Oreochromis niloticus: one gene and its partner. The protein of the gene in region 2 interacts with the protein of the main gene of each other region in a pairwise test. Links are inferred from orthologs where the notes say so. Each region holds a gene or a part of one and is shown on either strand. Other genes may lie near its edges.

Region 1 (3,754 bases), on a different chromosome or scaffold from region 2:
AGAAGCTATATGTGGCATTAATAAAAATATCACATAAAACTAAAGACGGTAAACTCTTCAACACAGCCAATTCTATCCAGATATGTTTGTACTGCATTAGCAGAAGATGTGGGCAATATGGCCTCAAAAATATAGCACAGTATTGTCACATAATAAAATGAAAGAATACTTTCAGCCTGCGATGTTGTACGTTGGGCCAAAGTTTTTAACCTGTTGCTTAAAACCCTTCTCTGCCACATGTAACTGCATCTGTAATTTCCATCCACAGTTTGCTCTTCCTGTCATGTGGAGTGCGACCAGTGAGTGCTCCAGCTGCGCTCGGTGGAGTCATCTGCTTACATTTGGGTCACACACCACCAGCTGCTAGTATCTCCTCCTTCGTAGCCTGGGTGTACTCGATGATGTGTTTTTGCCTCAAGTGATGAAACAAGTCTGTTATTTCTACATTTAGCTGGAACAGTTTTCTTGCATATTGTGCAGCGCATTGTGCTTTGTTGGACGTCTTTTAGCTACATTTTTTAAAATTGGGATAATGGAATATCAGAGATGATGTGATATGGTTCTAACTGGCAGCATGCTTGAAATCATTGTCATGTTGCTGCTATGAAAATCTAAAGCTAATTTTTGTGTTCACATTTCCACTGTGTTTTATAGACAGCTGCATACTCAGTGTTGTACCTCTCTCCTGACATCCTCTCAGTTTGAACCAAAACAAAATTCAAATTTGCCTGCTTCCTGTTATGTGTAGACACACCACTGGTTCATCAATTGAGTTAGGTGAATTTGCTTGAATAATTCATAGGTCAGTGTTAAGCGGCATAACAAACAAACATTCAGGTAGATGGGGGCAGCTGTGGCTCAGGTGGCAGAGCGGGTTGTCTACCAATTGGAAAGTAGCTAGATGAAAGTACTGTATGGATGTGTGTGTGTGATTGGATGAATGGGACTTGCAGTAGTAAATTAACTGAGCTGAAAGCCACTATAAATACCAGTTTGTTTACAAGTACTGGACTGAAAACAAGAGAAAAAAAAAAACCAAAACGTTGAAACACCTCCAGAAAGCCTGGAGAACTATTGCTCAAGAACACTTTAAATAAAAGAATTACAAGGAAGTCTGTCTCCTTGGAAGAAAAATGTAAAGACATGAGAGGTGGCTCAAGACATTTGCACAGTACTACATACACCAAAAATGAAAACTTAAAAAAAAAAAATGCAATTTAACCCAGAAAATTATGGTTCATGTAAGCTAAGTCTTACTTATGTGTGTGCATATATAATTTTTCTAAAAAAAAGTTATATAAATAAATAATAATAATGATATATTACCAAAGTGTCTGTTAAACTTTCATTGACATCAGTGTTTTAATTATTCTTGACTTACTTCATAAATAAGTGATCAGCGCTACACACAACTCCAAAGGGTACATCCTAAATATAGACTTTATAAAGAATCATAGTTTAAAAACATATTTTTGGAAAATTCAATTATTTTATAAATTATATGTAAGAAGCTGCATAAGCACACTATTAATGTCCCAACAACATTAAACTCAAAATTATAAAACACTGACTGGGATGTTTACAACAACGAATACATTTGAAAACAACATAAATTGTCAGGGGTCATATTTCATATTTTACAGTCTGTAAAAAATAAACGCAAAGCATAAAACACATAAAAATTGTCCTGGTAAAATTAAGACCTGCCCGTGGGTTAATAACAGTGAAATTTTGCTTACTCGGCAGACGGAGTGGAATAAGGTTTAACAGCAGACTGAGGACGTGGGACCCCGAGCTACTGTATGGCCTCCATAACCTCGGCCAAGTGAACTGCAAAAAACACAACACAACACCGGAAATGACATGACTGGCTTCGCAGACATACAGGCAGGCAACAAGCTAAAATAACGCAGTCTTGCTTATCCCTCATAAAACACACCTTTAGAAAAAAGTTTATAACTGAAATATCACTTTAAAGTTGCTCCACAATTTGGCTTCACCAATTAACGGGGGTCTTATTTGTTACCTTACCGGAAGTCCCATCTCAATCGGTCTAACTTTATCTTTTAGCTTCCGGGATGTCAAAGTAAAACCGTGTACGTTATAACAGCTACGGCGGTGCATAGAGTAAAATAAAATGCCCAAATTAGCCTGAAACCTATTGTATTGAACGCGAAATTAATTGCAGTTCCCCTCAAAATAACAGAGACGCGTTTGTTGCATTTTCTTTTAAAATTAGCGGGAACTAGACCACGGACAAGTCAAGTGCAACACTAGCTAACAATTGAAACCCTGCAGCGAAGGAATGACTGCCTGTTCATCACCTTGTCCGAATACTCATCTTATTTAATGGCCAAGTGTTTTCTCTTAGAGTGTGTGCTGGTTCGTAGAAGAAAAACACCCATCAAACTCAGTGAAGCATCGCCAGAGGGGCTTCCATACTGACCCTACCTTCCTACAGCGTACGGATTAACAAATAACGTTATCCGTCAACAGATGCAGGCGATGCTGTTTGTAAACAAATAACCCTTCTTTCCATAAATGTGACAGTCAAGAGAAAAGCTCGCTCACCGCGTCCTGTTGTTCTGCTGTGAAAAGTTCAAGTATGATTTACTGTATTTCCATTTTAAAAAGTACTTCCTCTTCGTCCCAGTCTTCTTTAGTTCCACACTTTGCCGGACTCTGAAGCCCGGAAGTTCAGCCAATGAGCGCGGAGACCGAGCACTGAACTGTCCAATAGCAGCGATCAACCCGAAAGTCTCTTGTCCAATCAGAAATACTCAACCAGATCCAGTAAGCCAATTATAATCCAGGTCGCCTTCCTTATTATTCACAAAATGAAGAAATGTTTGTCTTTAGGCGAGAAAGATGGCTTATAACCCATTGCGAGTGCATGTAATAGTGAGAAACACATTGTCTCGGTGATATAAGGTGTTTTGGTACAACTTCATAAAGATAGATGTAATTATTTAAAGAGGACACTTAAAGAAGACAAACATATTTCTTCATGAATACTATAGAATTCAGTATACCCGTTGTTTGCAACAAGGATTTGGAGCTGTTTGACCTAAGACCTTGCTGTAATATAATATAATATAATATAATATAATATAATATAATATAATATAATAACCTAACACTATAACTGGAGAAAAATTGGTTTCTAATTATTTTAAAATATAAAACAAAATAAAAAATAATCCAAATTTTACATATATGATTCTAAAAATACGGTTTATAATTGAACTTATTTTCATTCACGAGGCGCAAACCTGATAATACAATTTAAATCCCGAGATCTAAGGCAAATATTTCATTATAAAATACTTATAGAAATGTAGCTTAGCATAGTGTGTATAGGGCGCAGTACTGTACGATCAATGGTTATTCTTTTTCAATTGCTCTTCCACTGCTAGCACTGTGCAGCTGCTCTCACACCCCTATACTTAATTATGGTAATGTGGTCAAATAGGCTGAGTTTGCATTTGTAAGACACTGTAATTCAGGGGTGTGATGGTGTAATTAAACCCCATACATAGGAGAACGATCCCAATTTCTCCCCCAAAGTTCTCTATTTTTTTGGTGGTGGGGTAATGTTGGAACCGTGAACTAAACGTCCGTGCTAACGTCCTTGCAATGTTTAAAACATCAAATCTAATACTGGCATTTATCCTGTTCTGTTCATTGCTCTTGTTGTTCCCTGAACCTTTGGTGAAAAGTTATCAATGGCATGATGCACTCGTTCACTTAACTT
Region 2 (3,754 bases):
TAACAGTGTAAATTTGCTCTCACCTCAAAATAGCTCAATACCCAGATGCAACTTGCTAAAGGACATTTTAATATGTTTGGTGGTGCATGTATATACTGGAGCCTGTAAGTTTACTTTTGACCATGTGTGGAAAATCCCAAAAAAAATTCAAACTTATGCTTCCAGTTTTCATTAAACAGATATTCTGTATAATTATTCCACCCTGGAAAAACAAGCATTCAAAGAAATCATTACCATAATTACCATCACATTAATGCCTGTGATTATTGTATGTAAATGTGAGCAGATGGACAGATCTGAAAGTGTTCCTGGTTTTTACCTTGAATTTCTGCTGTAACTTGCAGGACTCTGTCTTCTTAGCCTCCAGTTCAGCCTGACATCTCTTCAGTTTCCCCAGCAAATCTTGATTGTATCTAGTCAGCTTCTGGATTTCATCCTATGGAAAAGAATAAAATGGAATATTTGGTGAGAGTTTTGTACTCTCAGTTCCTCTGAGTGTAATGTAGATGTTACAGAGAAGACTATAAGTGTACCTGAACTGTTTTCATGCTTTGATTAAATTCATCCTGGGTCTTCTGTTGGTTTTTGACACAAACGTTCATCTCCTGCTGTGCCTCTGACTTGGCATCATCTTCCCCCAGCTTTTCCAGTATCAGCCTGGCTTTCGTATCATCCGCTTTTTCGAATTTAGCCTTTAAGAGATATGGGGGGTGTTCAGAGAGAATACAACTGTGGGCAGTCTACAAAGAGACTACATGCTACTCAAATAAAATTATTCTCTCACTGACAGACATTTAAACATGACCAAATATACTCAAGTCATTCTGAATGATATAATACCACTGCTGATAAGTGAGAAAAGTACAGATTTGGAAGAGAAACAAGGCTTTACTTAGTTTTTATGTCCTTATGAGGGAAAAGTGGAAGAACTGAAGCATTTATAAATAGTTTATGATATAAATTTAAAAGAGAAATCCTAAACAATGCTGTGCACTTGGCTCACTGACGAAACTCAATATTCGTTCTGCGTCCCCCTAGTGTTGTATGCCTGCATTTTAGTTGACATTAACCTTATGTACCTTTATTTATTTTCTATATAAACAGGCTCCTGAGCAATCACTAATCAAGATCTGTACTGATCACGGTAATTGTGCATGTTTCACAGGATAATGGTGCAGCCGTTGACAGACTATGTGCCAGTCTTTCCCCCAAACAAAGGACTAAAACAGTGTTTATTCATTTTTGGTCGAGCTCACTTCACCTGCACCTTGTTTGCTAAAGTGTGAGCCATCAAAAGTTCAAAAGCCGTCAAAATAGTTCTTAGTTGAGCAAATATAGGCCTACACCCTATGGAATGCTGCCTGGGCCCATTCCATCTGACTTTCAGTTGCTGAAGCGAGCTGCTTTACGGTTTCTCCCTGTTTACTGCAAACCTCAGCTGCAAACTGCATGTTCTGTGCAGCCAAATATAAGTAACCATTTAAAGTTTAATCTCAAATGTGTAAATAAAATGTATCCCGTGATGTCTCAATGCTAATAAATTATATCAATGAATATTATGACATTTATTATAATATGGGCATTTAGATAGACTCTTTCAGGCTTTTCAGTCCAGTGCGTTTATTTGTAGAACATACTTAGTTCCGGGCTTGCCTTTACGATGCAGGATTGCATCTCGACTTAAATAAGAGATCTGAGAACTGTAATTACTGTTTAAATCACTCAGATCACTCACAGTACTGAGTAAACAAACCACCTTCTTCTATAAACGGAGAATGAAGACACTTCCGGCTGAGCAGTTGTCGTTTTCCCATAAATGTATTTTGACGATTGGATCGTGAACTTATTTTACTATTGAACTAAAACACTTCACGCCTGAAAATGGAAAATGTAGTTCAGCATTAGTTCCGGCCTACCTTCCATGCCTCCAACTCTCGCTTGGCCTCCTTCAGTTCACCGTCTTTATCCAGGCCTCCTTCCTTCTGCCAAGAAAGAATGGCATCGTTAACAACTGTGGACCACTTGTTTCTTCTTAGACGGACTAAAACAAACAAACAGACGAACACATTATTACTCACCTTATCATTTAGCGAGCGACTACCGAAGACCTCAGCCATGGTCTGAATGACAAAAAAGAAACAGATATGAAAACTTCACTTGGTAGCTACGATCCAAAAATCAGCCAGCTGTGACTGCACTGCCTCTTTTTTGAGTACTTATTATTTTCTGTCGAAGTTAGAAAAGAAACAAAGTGGCCCTGTTGTGCCGGAAACAGCTCCAAATCAAAAGTGAAAGTTACAGCCTGGTGTGACGAGCTTCCCGGTATGGAAGACCAAGTGTGACAAAAGTTCACAGTCAAAGAAATAAATTAATAAAAACATCTCGTGTGTGTGTTGGAAGCTACTGATTCTTTAGATAAAGGAAAAAACACGCAATTTTCTGGCTAAAAATATGCATGAAATTCTTAACCCATTTAATTACAAAAACAAACAAACAAAAATATTTTTAAAACAAAAAACGATTTTACATTTTTTTTGTATGTGTATTTTATTTTAAATAGTACAATATGTTACCAGCACCTAAAAAATCCATAGACGGGGGGAACGTGGAATGAAACACAAGAAGCGAAACATGGGAAGAGAAAAGAGAAACAAGACACAAGGACACACACGCACACATAAACACAAACACACAGGGAGGGACACAGAGGTCAAACACTATGGTGTTATTTTTGTCTCACTATTCTGAGAGCACGTAAAAAAAAAAGTACAAGTGTTGCATTTTGAGGAGAAATTTATTCCTCTCGCTCAGGTTTTGCATTTGCTCTTGCTCAGATCTCTGCGGACCTGCTCTCAATGTGTTGCTCGCGCTTTCAACATCTCTGCCCCTGCACGTTCAACTCTTTCTGTACAGCATTATATTTGTGCCACAAAACCAAAAAATCACAGATTTGGATGCAAAAATTCTGATTGGCTGCTTTAGTTTCTCCATTCAGCTCGCTAGCTACTGTAACCAAACCCAGGCAAATATCCCAGTATGCATTTCGTCCAAAACTCAAACAAGGCATTTGCAGAGGAACGCAGAGCGGCGGAGTTTGAAATATTACTCTTTCTGGATCACAAAATAAACTTTTAAGATATTTTCAGGCTACAAAGCAGGCAATATAAGAATAAGAAACTCAGAACAGACTAAACTTAAGACTACTAATGAACCTAAAACATAAACATAATACAAATTAACACCAAAACACAAGAAACTCAAAATGCTGGGTCAACATGACCCAGAACTCTCAGGTGACTACATAATGAAGAGAAGGCCAAGGGTTTGCAGCACTCAACAAAGCAAAGGGTGGCTACTCTCAGGAATCTCAAATATAAGACATAGTTAGAGTTATTTATCAATTTTTTGATAAATAACAACAAAATTATATTTGTATCACTGGCTGTTATGGGGAGACCCTGGAAACTGTTCAGAGAGTCTTTCCTTTATTCTGCTCGTGCTTCACACGTGTGCTGCTTCTGCAGCTCCGGGCTGCACTTTACAGCACAGTCTCTTCTGGTAAAGCTCACGTCTGCTTCTCCGCTGCCACAAGGGAGGAACAATGTTGAAGTTCTTTTCAGAAGTAATCGATGTTACAGAAGTAACAACAAATAAGAAGACGTCAATAAGCTCATCTATTTCTGCTCAGAGTGGCACAGTCTAAAGAAGTCAGTTTCCTGGATGGTGATGTGTAAGCAGCACATATTGGAAGTTA

Evidence for each region. The genes of interacting proteins can lie anywhere in the genome.
Region 1: the proteins of nmi (region 2) and brms1 interact in binary tests that used the Homo sapiens proteins (3 or more experiments, as listed by UniProt). The link is inferred for Oreochromis niloticus from reciprocal best matches to the Homo sapiens genes NMI and BRMS1.

The regions. Positions count from the first base shown.
Region 1 is NC_031967.2:10,446,959-10,450,712, reverse strand, and holds the start of brms1 (breast cancer metastasis-suppressor 1), read right to left. Parts: upstream 2,722-3,754; 5' UTR 2,572-2,721; intron 2,312-2,571; exon of another isoform or gene 1,940-2,311; intron 1,831-1,939; 5' UTR 1,740-1,830; intron 6-1,739; 5' UTR 1-5. UniProt on the Homo sapiens protein: Transcriptional repressor. Down-regulates transcription activation by NF-kappa-B by promoting the deacetylation of RELA at 'Lys-310'. Promotes HDAC1 binding to promoter regions.
Region 2 is NC_031987.2:33,068,591-33,072,344, reverse strand, and holds the start of nmi (N-myc-interactor), read right to left. Parts: upstream 2,310-3,754; 5' UTR 2,118-2,309; coding exon 2,079-2,117; intron 1,983-2,078; coding exon 1,917-1,982; intron 693-1,916; coding exon 534-692; intron 437-533; coding exon 320-436; intron 1-319. UniProt on the Homo sapiens protein: Acts as a signaling pathway regulator involved in innate immune system response.